2 linked regions of the Drosophila melanogaster genome follow. The protein of the gene in region 1 purifies or fractionates together with the protein of each later gene. This does not show direct contact. Each region holds a gene or a part of one and is shown on either strand. Other genes may lie near its edges. The genes, in order: Cyp6a22 and orion.

Region 1 (4,402 bases):
TTTATAACCCAAATTATGAGATATATACTAAGATTATTAGGAACCTATCTACCATTTGTGCCCAAGAGTTTGCAGAAAAACCCAACTGAAAGAACCGAGTCTTAGAAACGCATATGTGTGGCCTTCGTTGGGTTTCTCTGCAATCAAAGGGCAACCGCAATCAATAAACTGCACATTCTATCACAATTTCGATATGGAGAATCACTTTTAGTGTCGACCGTCTATTAGCTGTGTGTAAGCTGGAGTGTCTTTGTTTTTAAGTAAATACGCTTTTGTTTTGTTAACCTGGCTGATGTAATATTCCACCACTTTAACTATGATGTGGGCGTAGTTGATGTTCTCCTCGGCAAGCATCGTGAGCATATTGATCAATGGCTTGCTGTTGCAGTTGAGGTCCTGGAGACTTGACAGATACTCCTCGCCGATCCTTCGCTCATCGTCGCGGTAATTCTGAAATAGCTGCTCCATTGTGGACTCTGTATTCCAGATCTTGATCCGGATATTGATCAAGTTATTTGGTTTGAAGTAGTCGCAGTTGCTATGTTTCGACTGCAAGGGAAAATATAACAAAGTAATTAAATGACATGAAAAGCAAAGGTAATTTGTGTGAAAAAGTTTGCACTATTAATGGGATTTTGTCGGGATATTTTGGATGAATAATGTATTAAGGTTGCGATGTTTGTTAGCGATATCTTCATCTCTGCCCATTTTATTTGTAATAAACCGTGATGCACTGAAATCTTAGGCTGCACTATGTGGATAGATAATCCTGTATACAGCGTATCTATGTATGTAATTCGTACCAGACGTAAACAATCACGCGCGTCCACAAACACAAGGTAATCTCTTACATATATACACACACACACGTACGGAATGACGACGAAAATTCAATATGGCGGCCATGAGCATATTTTCGCATGTGTGGCCTGCCCGAATAAATTAACCAATAAAGTGCTTGTTTTTCCTTTCTGTACATCGCATTTCACGCTTTCACGAAATATTTACGTTTTAGTGAAACTATCTCGTTGCTTAAATTGATTTAACGGAGATTTTCCCAGACAAAGCCACGTTTGTGTTACCACTACATACACACGCGAGTTATCAGTTCGACTTCAATTTACTTTTTCGCGCTGCAGAACATTTAAAAACATACCTTTTTAAGCTAATACATTTGTACAATCACTGCCAGACACTTTTGCGAGGAAAAAATTTCACAAAAGCACTGCTACTATATAAAAATTAGCTTTTGAAAACTCTCACGTAACAACTGCGATGTATTTTTGATGACTTACACTTAAAAGTGTGGCCGTCGACGTGAAATGGAAATTATACATTTTATACAATTTTTATTTAAGGAAATATACTAAAAATATACCATTAAGGTATTTTTTGCATTAAACCGCGTTGCCAACCACTAGAAATGTTAAATTTTAAAGTGCCTTTAAAATTGCAGTATAACTAATTAAAAAAGAAATTAATGTTAGAAGTGTTTTATTTATTTAGTTTTAATGCAATATGCACTATTTAATTTTATAGGCGTTGCCAATTGAATTAATATACCACCAGGTGGCGGTAGTGGGCGATCCGAAAATTAGTATTGTTTCTTTAACTTCATTTCTTCTAGCCAAGTAACGGGTATCTGATAGTCGAGAAGTTCAAGAAGACTATATAATAAGTCTGATATTAGATCAGATAAAAAAAGAAAGAAAAAAAACAGATAAGAAATGCAAAATTCTTATCATACTTTTAATTACGCTCATATAGTAAGCAGAGAATAAATGCATATATTGCATAGACTTTTTCTTCAAGGCGGGTGTTCTACAGTTATCTCTCACTATATCAATTGCATTAACTTGAATCACCGTTAAAAGCTCGTCAAGTCCGAGCTTCAGTTCGATTTGTTTTCAGTGCGCCTAAATTCTATGAGACGAGGTTATCTGCCTAGGTCTGTTTACACTACTGCAGCTGATTGTAAGCGGAGCGAATAGAGGCGTTGGTCCAGTGTTCAGTTCATAGTGAATCTATTCGGGGAGAGGATGCTGGATGTAGTGGCTCTACTGCTTATTGCCCTGGCAGTGGGCTTCTGGTTCGTGCGGACGAGATATAGCTACTGGACCCGGCGGGGCATTGGCAGTGAGCCGGCCCGGTTTCCCGTGGGGAATATGGAGGGATTTCGGAAAAACAAACATTTCATCGACATTGTAACGCCAATCTATGAGAAGTTCAAGGGCAATGGAGCACCCTTTGCCGGATTTTTTATGATGTTGAGACCTGTGGTCTTGGTCACAGATCTGGAACTGGCCAAACAGATCCTCATACAGGACTTCGCCAACTTTGAGGATCGGGGAATGTATCACAATGAGCGGGATGATCCTCTAACTGGGCATCTATTCCGCATTGACGGGCCCAAGTGGCGACCCTTGCGCCAGAAAATGTCCCCCACCTTTACCTCAGCTAAGATGAAGTATATGTTTCCGACGGTCTGCGAGGTGGGCGAGGAACTTACTCAAGTTTGTGGCGAGTTGGCGGATAATGCCATGTGTGGAATCCTCGAGATCGGTGATCTGATGGCTCGCTACACTTCGGACGTGATAGGACGGTGTGCCTTTGGCGTGGAATGCAACGGCCTCCGGAATCCCGAGGCGGAGTTCGCCATAATGGGCAGGAGAGCCTTTTCAGAGCGTCGCCACTGCAAGCTGGTCGATGGATTTATAGAGAGTTTCCCCGAAGTGGCCAGGTTTCTGCGCATGCGCCAAATCCATCAAGACATTACGGATTTCTATGTGGGCATCGTTCGGGAAACTGTGAAGCAGAGGGAGGAGCAGGGCATCGTGAGGAGCGACTTCATGAACCTGCTGATCGAAATGAAGCAGCGCGGTGAGCTCACCATCGAGGAAATGGCCGCCCAGGCATTTATATTCTTTGCGGCGGGATTCGACACATCCGCATCAACGCTAGGATTTGCCCTGTACGAGTTGGCCAAGCAGCCGGCACTGCAGGCAAAGCTACGCGAGGAAATCGACCAGGCTCTGCGGTTACACAACGGTGAATTCACATATGATTCCATGCAGGAGCTGCGGTACATGGAACTGGTCATAGCAGGTGAGCCCGACTCAAAACGAATTTTAAATATTACAAAGATGATACCATTTACCACTGTATCTTTTAGAAACCCTTCGGAAGTATCCCATACTACCGCAGCTCACTCGGATCTCCAGGCATCTCTACGCAGCCAAGGGCGATCGTCATTTCTACATCGAGCCGGGTCAAATGCTACTGATACCGGTCTACGGCATCCATCATGATCCCGCCCTATATCCCGAGCCACATAAGTTCATCCCGGAGCGCTTTCTGGCCGATCAACTGGCGCAGCGACCCACCGCCGCATGGCTGCCCTTTGGCGATGGACCGCGAAATTGCATTGGAATGAGGTTTGGCAAAATGCAGACGACCATTGGCCTGGTCAGTCTGCTCCGAAACTTTCACTTCAGCGTCTGTCCGCGAACTGACCCAAAAATTGAGTTTCTCAAGTCCAACATTCTGCTGTGCCCCGCCAACGGAATTTACTTAAAAGTCCAACAGCTTAGCCAAATGAGTAGTTAGTGCTGCTTATTAAATCGCTATCTGGATTGTATTCTAACATTTAGTATCTACATTTTACAATGCTGTTATACAAATACACAATCAAATGTTTTTATCAATCAACGTAGTAGGTACAGTAAAACTGCTGTATATCTAATCAAGCTTCTTGAGCTTAATTTGTTCGATTAAATATTTGTATTTCGTCACTGACGTTATCTTAGCATTTCACCAGTTCCAGGGATTTTAAATAATGAAATCTGTTTTCCAAGTTTCATGCTTAATTTGTACATTTACGTTGGCAAAAACCAAGTTTGCAAAGAATGCAATAAAAATTACTGGAATTCGCTTTGTTTATATTTTTTTGATTGCGTAATCGCTAGATTGTTTATATACAGAGATTGTATGTATATAGATTGTTTGTTCATATATGTGTATACAACCATTTTAACTGCGCATATGATTCCCTAATTATTATTTATCACATTGAGAACAAACCTTAAGAGAACTTGAACGGTGAGTTTTGTGTGTGAAAATGAGAGATTGGCGAAAAGAGCGAAGTCCTCATACGCGAATGAGCTTGCGTTGTGGCATCCCACTTTAAAGTCAGTTTGTATTGGACTCTGGACGTGAAATGTTGTTACTGGCGCTAATCGTTGTGATACTATCACTGCTCGTCTTCGCGGCCCGACGACGTCATGGATACTGGCAGAGAAGGGGCATACCGCACGACGAGGTACACCCGCTTTTCGGAAACATCAAGGACTGGCCAAATAAGCGGCACATTGCCGAGATCTTTCGGGACTATTACTTCAAGTAC
Region 2 (8,198 bases), on another chromosome or scaffold:
AAGGCAGGAGCATACCGCTGCCTGTGGGTGTGGTAGGCGAGAACATCTCATTGGAAGCCCCTGCTGGTGGTGTGGCCGATGCATTGGCGCCACCTCCAGCTCCACCTGCAATTGCGCCCATATTATTCGTTTCGGCTAGCAGAAGATCTCTCCGAATAGCCACCTCCATTCCGCTCTCCGGCAAAGTGATCTGCTGCAGCGGAAAGTGGAAATCGAGAGCAGCCGGTGGACTCATATCCATGGCATGATTGCCTTCTCTCAGTAGATCATCTTCGTTGCTATCCTGGCGGATAACCACACCGGTTTCGGCAACTACTGAAAGATCCGGTGGTAGGGCGACCTCCATGCCGGGCACTCTCATCGGCACCAGCGCCTGAGAGACATTCCTTCTGCTATGAGCTCCCATTCCCAGTCCAGCTCCACCCGTTGCCTCATCTCCTTCGGGGTCCCCTTGACCAATCATGCGCATCGATTGCTCTGGATCCGCTTCAACCTCAAAGTCCAGATCTGAGTAAAATGGGTTCGACCGATAGCTGGAGGTGATCACTTGCGGATCGCGTGACTTCAGCGACACTTTCTTGACCACGTGGCGCAGATTGCAGCTTAGATTGTCCGTGGGATAGCAGTGGAAAAGCTTGGGCGGCTCATGCCGTCCCGTGCCGTAGCCATGATAGCCCGGCCCGCTAGATGACTCCACCACAGCAGCCAGCGCAGGAGGGGCCCGATCTCCAGTTCCACTGCCAACATCATCACTTGTTTCCACAGCAATCTCTAAGAGGAACACAGCCAGAGCCAGCAGATGCTCGGAAACATCACGTGTGTGAACTGCACGGAAAAATATCGACAGGATGGTGGAGTGAAAGATGCGCGAGTTCAAAATCTTGCAGGGATCACTGAAGGAGCTCGTTGCGGGCAGAGCATGAGGCAATCGGAAGGGTGGCCATAGGTTACCACTTGCCGGCATCTTATCCTTGCTCTTCACATAGTTTGTAAAGCGGTCCAGCGATGATTGAAAGTCTCGACGATGAACTGCTCGCAAAAGGACGTGCAGCGGATCGTAGTGCTTCTCCCACACCTCGTCGATGGGCGTGAAGAGACCCTGCTCCAGGTTCTCGCTCCCACTCGACGGAGCCTTGTAAACCGATAGCTTCTTAAGGAAGGTCTCAAAGTTTTTGGTATGCACATTGCCCGACCGCTCCGGCATTAGTTCAAGGAGCTGCGAATGCGTCTTGTTCTCGGTAGCCAACAAGGCACTGATCTCAATAATGCATTGGGTGGCTTCATCGTTTCCCAGATTAGTGCGACTCGTCACCAGGGTGGCCAAGAAGGTTAGGAATCCCTCCAGCATCGAGGATTGCTCCGCCTTTTGAGGCTGCTTCAAGGGAGCTGTCTCCAGCCATTGACCTACGTCGAACAACTCGATGGTGTTCTGCAGAAAGAAGTACTGCGGCAGGTTGGTGGCACAGATTTGCAGGAAGAACAGGTCCATGTCGGCCATCGAGTTGCAGAAGTTCGCCTGGATATAGGTCATCGCTTGTCCCTTGATTTGGAGACCATTGCGCACCCATTTTCCGGCCAGGATCTCGTAGAAAAAACTCTAAAAACGAAGTAAAAATAAATTTAACATTTAAATTTAATTTTATATACAAATTTTATTCTATTCTCTTAAATATAAAAAATTATTTCACGCACATAATCTTTATTTAAAATTAATAAAAATAAAAAAAAATTAAGTAACCGTACACCAGCGAGTGCGATAGTTATGAAACATCGATGACTTGCGAGCAGACAAAGTTATCGAAACTCGCTGTGACCTATGCTGTCTATCTGCCCCTCCCCCTTCCCCGACAACCGACAAAGAACGGTGCAAAACAAAGAAACAGAGCCCGTCTCTCCGCATATTTGTGTCTGTCTGTGTGTGAAACAGGGTGTCTACAGGCGGCGGAAAAAGAAGGAAAAGAGACAAGTGAAACCCACAACTGTACGATTTTTTAATCAATCTCCGAGCGGCGAGAGCAGCACAGCAGATTAATCTGCCAACGTCGTCGAAACTCGACGCTCGAGCTCGAGACAAAACTCGACTCTCTGTTTTTGTGACTATCCTCCCATTTGCGTTTTGATTTTCAGCGGGCGCAGTTGCGTGCCAGCCCGTGTCTATCTGTCTGTCTGTGTGTTTGCTTGTTTGTGCAAGCATTTAATCATAATATTTAAAAGACACCCCACCATCGTCAGCACAACATCCCCAACGATCGTCAAATTTCGCGCTGCAATAAATAAATAAACATTCATATACAAAACGAAACCCAAATAGCACTCACGCACAGCCGGCTGCAGGATGAGATTTATAAATTGGGTACTTCCCCTGCTTCTGGCCACGTTGGTCGCCCTGCAACAGCCCACACTAACGGACGCTCTGATCGAGGATGTCCTGGACATCATACATGTGGTCAAAGAGGTCACCTCCGGCGTCCTCAAGGCCTGGGACATTGTACAATCCTCCCCGTTGGCGGCCAACATTGATTTCCCACTGATGCGCGAGAAACAGAAGAAGGTGTTGCAGCGCCTCAAAGAAGTCAGCAAGCAAATAGACAATACCGAAGATCAGGTGAGTCAGCGGCAAGCTAAGACCGCTCTTTAGCTCTTCTTTTGTGTACCCTTGCAGTGGGCATTGCCAATTTGGTGAGCTGTTTGCACCATAGATAATAGATCTAATCGCTTGTATGCTGCAAGGGTATAACAACCATGGCACATATCAACTGTATACCTAACCCACACAAAAAAACCCACTTCAGCACGCTCAATATGTTGCCTTGGCCATCGAATCGGTGACTAGCTTCATGCACAACAACGCTCCAATTATGGCTAAGATGAATGATATCTCGGACACGATCAATAGGATCTCATCGCGCTATCAGCAGATGCAGAAGTACGAGGCTTACAAGGACAAGTTGGAGATGTCCACGCTGATAACGTTTGCGGAGTGGACAGTGTCGCCGAATGCACATTCGGTGCACCATCTGATGGATCGTCTGCATATCACTCTACTTGGCAACGAGGATCGATCTTCCAACACAACGTCCACCAATCTACTCCAACAGCTGGCCACTGCCTATGAGGTAATATAGTTTATGTGATATGACGCTTATTACAGGCGAAAATTTTGGGATCATCGAACTTAAAGAGCATTTTTAGCTTGAGTCATTTTGAAAGACATTTTATCAACCGGCTCCATCCACTGGGATAACTGTAAAAGAAGCTAAATTTTTAAGCCAAAAAACGTATTAACCCAGAAGACAGTCAGAAAAAAGGAAAAGTGTAAACAACCATTTGCTTTGATTACATTGTAGGGTGCTTTGAGCTGAGGCATGCTTCACTGTAAAAATACGGATTGTGATTGGGGTGTCAATTTGTGAATTGCTTCCTGCATGCCTGTTAACCGGATGATTCACGAATGATGCTCGCCCGGGATATGATATAGGTCTAGACACGAGGTTTTAAGCATTGTAAACTCGACTTTCCGGTTGACGCGTCAGTTAAGTCGTTCTTTTTTTCTCATTTTTTTTTGGCAAAAGAAAGTCTTGCAGTGTATTAGTCACCGTTTCTTTTGTCGCCAAATAACGGTTAAGGCCTCTGCACGCACTCTCTCTCACATGGAAGGCGCACAAATGCTCCCATTTCTTGCGGGTGTGTGCGTCTACTATTTGTGTGAGGTCAAAGGTCTTGTGTCAACAAAAGACTGCGAAACAAGTTAAACAAAACAAAAAATACACAAACAAACGCCTGAGGGCAATGCAGCAGTTTTGCCCCCATGCTGCGAAAAAGAGAGCAGAGAGCGCATCTCTTTGTGAGTGCATTGCGTCACGAAAAAACGGAAAGAGAGAAAGGAGAGTGCTTACAACGCACTCACTCAGCTGTTTGCCATACCAATTAGACGTCAGCCGAAACAAAAACAATGCGGCCACAACTTTCTAGTTATCGATTGCTAGGTATGCAAGTGCCAATATGATCTCCAGTCGATTGAATAATTAAGCTAACTGAGTAGGGTATTATTGCTGTGTGTGAAACCGAAAAATCAAACGAAATTTGCTGAATTCCTGATTACTGCTCACACAAGCACAAGTGTTTTGTGTGTGTGTGTGTGTTTACGCTTCTCATATCGTCTGGTTGTTAAAAGACCAACAACAATGCATGAAAAAAGAGCTTCAGTCAGCAATTTTTTTTCGTATTGTATTTTCAACGAGCACACATCAACACGAACACTTACACACACACACAGACACAAACAAACAATCGCTGAGCGTGGAGCGCTTTAAAGCAGAAACTGAAAAATTACAGTAGCTGAACAGCACTCAGAACCACAACACCCAGCAGAGGCGAGCGGGAATTAAAGTAAATCGCAAATCATAAAAAATCGTGAAATCTCAGCTGTATCGAGGACGAGCATTCTAAAACGAGGCTCGGATTCTTTGTTTCCAATTGAAGGAAGTTGAAGTTGAAGTTGCGGAAAGCAAGCAGTGCACCCTGCTGTTGCTCTTCTTCTTGCCTTGCCCTTTCATTAGCAGCAAAGAAGTAAAACCTCAAATACGAAGTATAAATAGAAGAAGCAGAAAACCCAAGGCTAGACAAATTGGAAACATACAGGGATACAATACAGGGACAGGGAAATCCCCGTATTTTATATTCGCTAGCTGGATACATATCTTATCGGGCGAGTAAATATGGCGCCGCCTTTCGGATTATTAGCTGCTGTTGTTGCTGTTCTTGTCACGCTTGTGATTTGTGGAAATACAAAATCGGCGTCGTCCGAGGGATGGATGCACCCAAGCACCCCACAAATGGAAGTGGACGCTCTGCGCACCGAATACATCGCCCTGGAACGCGCCCTGTGGAATTATCTGGCCAAAACGGCCAATAGTCAAAACAATAAGGAAACACAGATAAGGAAAGTATACGATTCGCATCGCGATTTCGATGCGAAACCCCAAATGAGACGCACCTTCGAGGAGCATCGCTACAAGATCCTCAATCACTACGAATGGTCGCTATTGGAAAGGGATCTCATTTATATCAGCAAGCTTTACGATGCCTACAAGGTATTTCGACTCTTATACGGGCTGTTTTTTAGATAGATCATAACATATTAACTCCTAATTATCCGAATAGGACACCTTTGTCAAGCAGAGCAACAGCGTCGAACTGGATGAACTTGCCGTTTTAAATCTAGCCGGAGCAATCCTGCGCAACGATAACACCGCCTCAATGCCACGAATCCTGCAGGAAATCGAGCGAGTGATGGTTTCTCAGACCCTCTACTACCGAGCCATGATAGTTAGTTAACCCACCCATCAGCAATATGAAAATTTCAATACGTACAATATTGTTGTGATCATATGCACTTTAAAACATATGCACAAAATCAAAACAGGAAATCCCTTGTTCCTTATTGAAAGCGAAAAAAACCTCGCAATATCTGATCACATTTTAAAGTAGTAATTTTCAAATTAAATTCTCGTAAAAACATTAGATATCATATTTTTTATACGATTCCAAAATGCAATAGCTAATTTTACACCCCCACGCGATCTGTAATTACCGTTCTATAATAATAATAATAGTGGTATGGAAAAGATTTTAACAGCCAGATGTGATGGCTTGCTAATTAGAGCTAAAAACAAGAGTAACACTACCTGGTAAAGAATGCCAGATGGATAGAAGGAAAAAACAGCTGAATATTGATCATATTAATGAATTTCGCAATAATATGAACAAATTTCTTGCTTACAGGTGTCTACCGATCAAATTTGCAATACCATGCAATCGGCCCAGCAGTTTATATACTCACTATATGCGGATATAGCCCTGACCGAACTGAAAGCCTACACCATGATGGAATTCTCGTGGATGATGTTGCGGGTCTACGGGAAGGGCAACTACACCCAGGAGGCGGAAATCATGCGTTCCGAATATGAGAAGAGGACGGAACGCACACTAAAAATACTCAAGGATGTGATGCTACGAGCTGATCGTATCGTTTACCGCTGTGATCCGACGAAACATGTACGGGGAGTCACCTATGACGAGGTCACGCGCCTCCTTCAAGGCTACATTGAAAACGAGGTGGATTTGAATAAAGAGGAAACTTGCCGAGAGACGTGTGACTTTTATCAGTCCACCCGCAGTGAAGGCTGCTTTAAGGATCTCTACTGTTCCCGTCAGCCGAAATGTAGTGGTCGTCTGTACAACTGCAGGTTCGTAGACTCCGACATGTGGGTGTGCCCGTCGCCACAGAATAGCACGCGGCGCTATGAGTTCATCGAGTACGAAAACGGACGCGTCCTTGGCCAGCGGGGTAAGTGCACCAGGGGCACCACCAAGGTGGACAGCTGGTGGCGTTACCTTCTCTGGCACTGCAGCTACTGCTTCTGCCTGTGCGACGAGGAGGGTCTGAAGTCTGATCGTTTCTTCAATCTGCGGGACACGATCGCCGATGTCAAGCGCAACCGGTAAGTTCTAGTTGAATCTGTTGATTTTGAAATATCAACCACATATTTACTAATTATTCTTCAGAGTCGTGACTGGTTTGCGTTTTGTAAAGCAAAATCGCATTTTCCATCTGCAAATCCAGGAGGGCGAACTCCTGCCTCGTGGTATTGTCAATCAAAGCACTCTGGAATGGAAACCCGTGGAAAAGTACAACGTCTTTGATCGTCATGTGAAGAATGGCGTTGATTATCATAAGTTGAGCTACGAGAAACGCACCATCGATCTGGACGATGTGGATACGGATGACAATTCCTTTGTCGTTACCGGCGTGCGATTCCGTGTGGTGGGCACACATCTGAATTTGGAGGCCTACTACAGTGAGTTTGATTTCCGGACGGGTCAGCTCATCCGGCCGGAGTACAATAGCTATTGGAAGTCCAACGACAATACCGATGTCAGCGGCGCACGCAGGTAAGTGTGTCCTCTATTTTCGGATAGCAAAAACTAAATAACTAACCCCTTGATTTCAGGGAGAAACTGCGTCTGAGCAACGCCGACGTGTCTACGCGGACAATAGCACACTCGATACCTCTGTCGCGCCACAATCAGTACATCGACTTCACTAACACTGGACTGGACAAGGATGCCGCCCAGAGCACAGTGCCGTTTATGGACATCCAGGACGTGGTCTCGAATCCACCAGTACCACTAGCCGGCATTGGCATTTACTACAAGGGCCGCAACGGCTACGGCGGCTTCCTGGGCCCCAAGATCATCACCTACGACTTCATGCCCCACGTTCAGGTGCCAAAGAATAGATTCTAAAGCGGAGAGAAGCGGTGCTGTTTCCATCCCGCACATATGTCATAGCTTTTTTTTAGTTGTACACTACCTATCAATACACACTTGCGTTTAACTGTCGCATAGTCTAAGTGAGATCAGAGGAGAACGAACCGCAGGAGATGCAGAATCCGGCAAGACAAGAATATAAAAACAAATTATATTGAAAATAACAAAAGAAATAAAAACGAATGTGAATCTGAGAAACCAGAGAACCGAGGACCTTCTTACTATTTAAAGCGAAAATAAGCGAAATAAAGGATTGAAGACTCACCTGGACGCGAAGTGGATGGATCATCAGCAGGGGCAGCAGATAGGGGCGTGAGGGCAGCACATCGTTCAGACTGATTCCCATTTTAGTTACCGCCTGGCAAACAAAGGCAGCCAGATAACGATGCAGGGGAAAGTGGAACGAAGCCTGCATCATCTCCTCCTGCACGGATAAATAAAAGGATTTTATTGAAACTGCAATAAACGGATTGAAAATACCAACCATAGATAGACGCGCCTCCATAAAGTAAATAGAGTCTAGCCACTCGTGCAGCGTCGTCACACAGTAGTTGATGATCTTCTTTGCCAGATGGGCATGTGTGCCATCCTGCAGATGCGAGATAATCGACCACATGGGATAGGCACTGGCCTCAAGCTCACAGGAGAACGCCGCATAGTAGCTATTTGGCTCGAATTCCACATGAGAAGCCGTCTCGCGCACATTGACATTCATGCCCTGGAGCATCTGGAGAAACTGGAACCACATATCGATGAGATTGTCGTCCCGCAGAAAGACCAGGGCCACCGATTCGTGTGAAAGGACGTTGTTAAAGTCCGAGACTAGTGGCCAGTAGCAGTGGTCCTTCATCACCTGACGCGTGCAG

The links.
Region 2: the proteins of Cyp6a22 (region 1) and orion purify together in Drosophila melanogaster (affinity purification with mass spectrometry, with the first as the bait; one large-scale study listed by BioGRID). This does not show direct contact.

The regions. Positions count from the first base shown.
Region 1 is NT_033778.4:14,869,764-14,874,165, forward strand, and holds Cyp6a22 (cytochrome P450 6a22), read left to right. Parts: upstream 1-1,602; 5' UTR 1,603-1,766; intron 1,767-1,874; 5' UTR 1,875-2,039; coding exon 2,040-3,105; intron 3,106-3,172; coding exon 3,173-3,606; 3' UTR 3,607-3,702; downstream 3,703-4,402. Other genes in the region: Pcf11 cleavage and polyadenylation factor subunit, read right to left, coding at 286-468; Cyp6a17 (cytochrome P450 6a17), read left to right, coding at 4,217-4,402.
Region 2 is NC_004354.4:7,940,814-7,949,011, reverse strand, and holds orion (orion), read left to right. Parts: upstream 1-2,103; 5' UTR 2,104-2,335; coding exon 2,336-2,605; intron 2,606-2,792; coding exon 2,793-3,116; intron 3,117-4,326; exon of another isoform or gene 4,327-4,718; coding exon of another isoform or gene 4,719-5,093; intron 5,094-5,163; coding exon of another isoform or gene 5,164-5,328; intron 5,329-5,784; coding exon 5,785-6,503; intron 6,504-6,567; coding exon 6,568-6,954; intron 6,955-7,013; coding exon 7,014-7,308; 3' UTR 7,309-7,534; downstream 7,535-8,198. Other genes in the region: Ubr3 ubiquitin ligase, read right to left, coding at 1-1,597, 7,598-7,756, 7,817-8,198.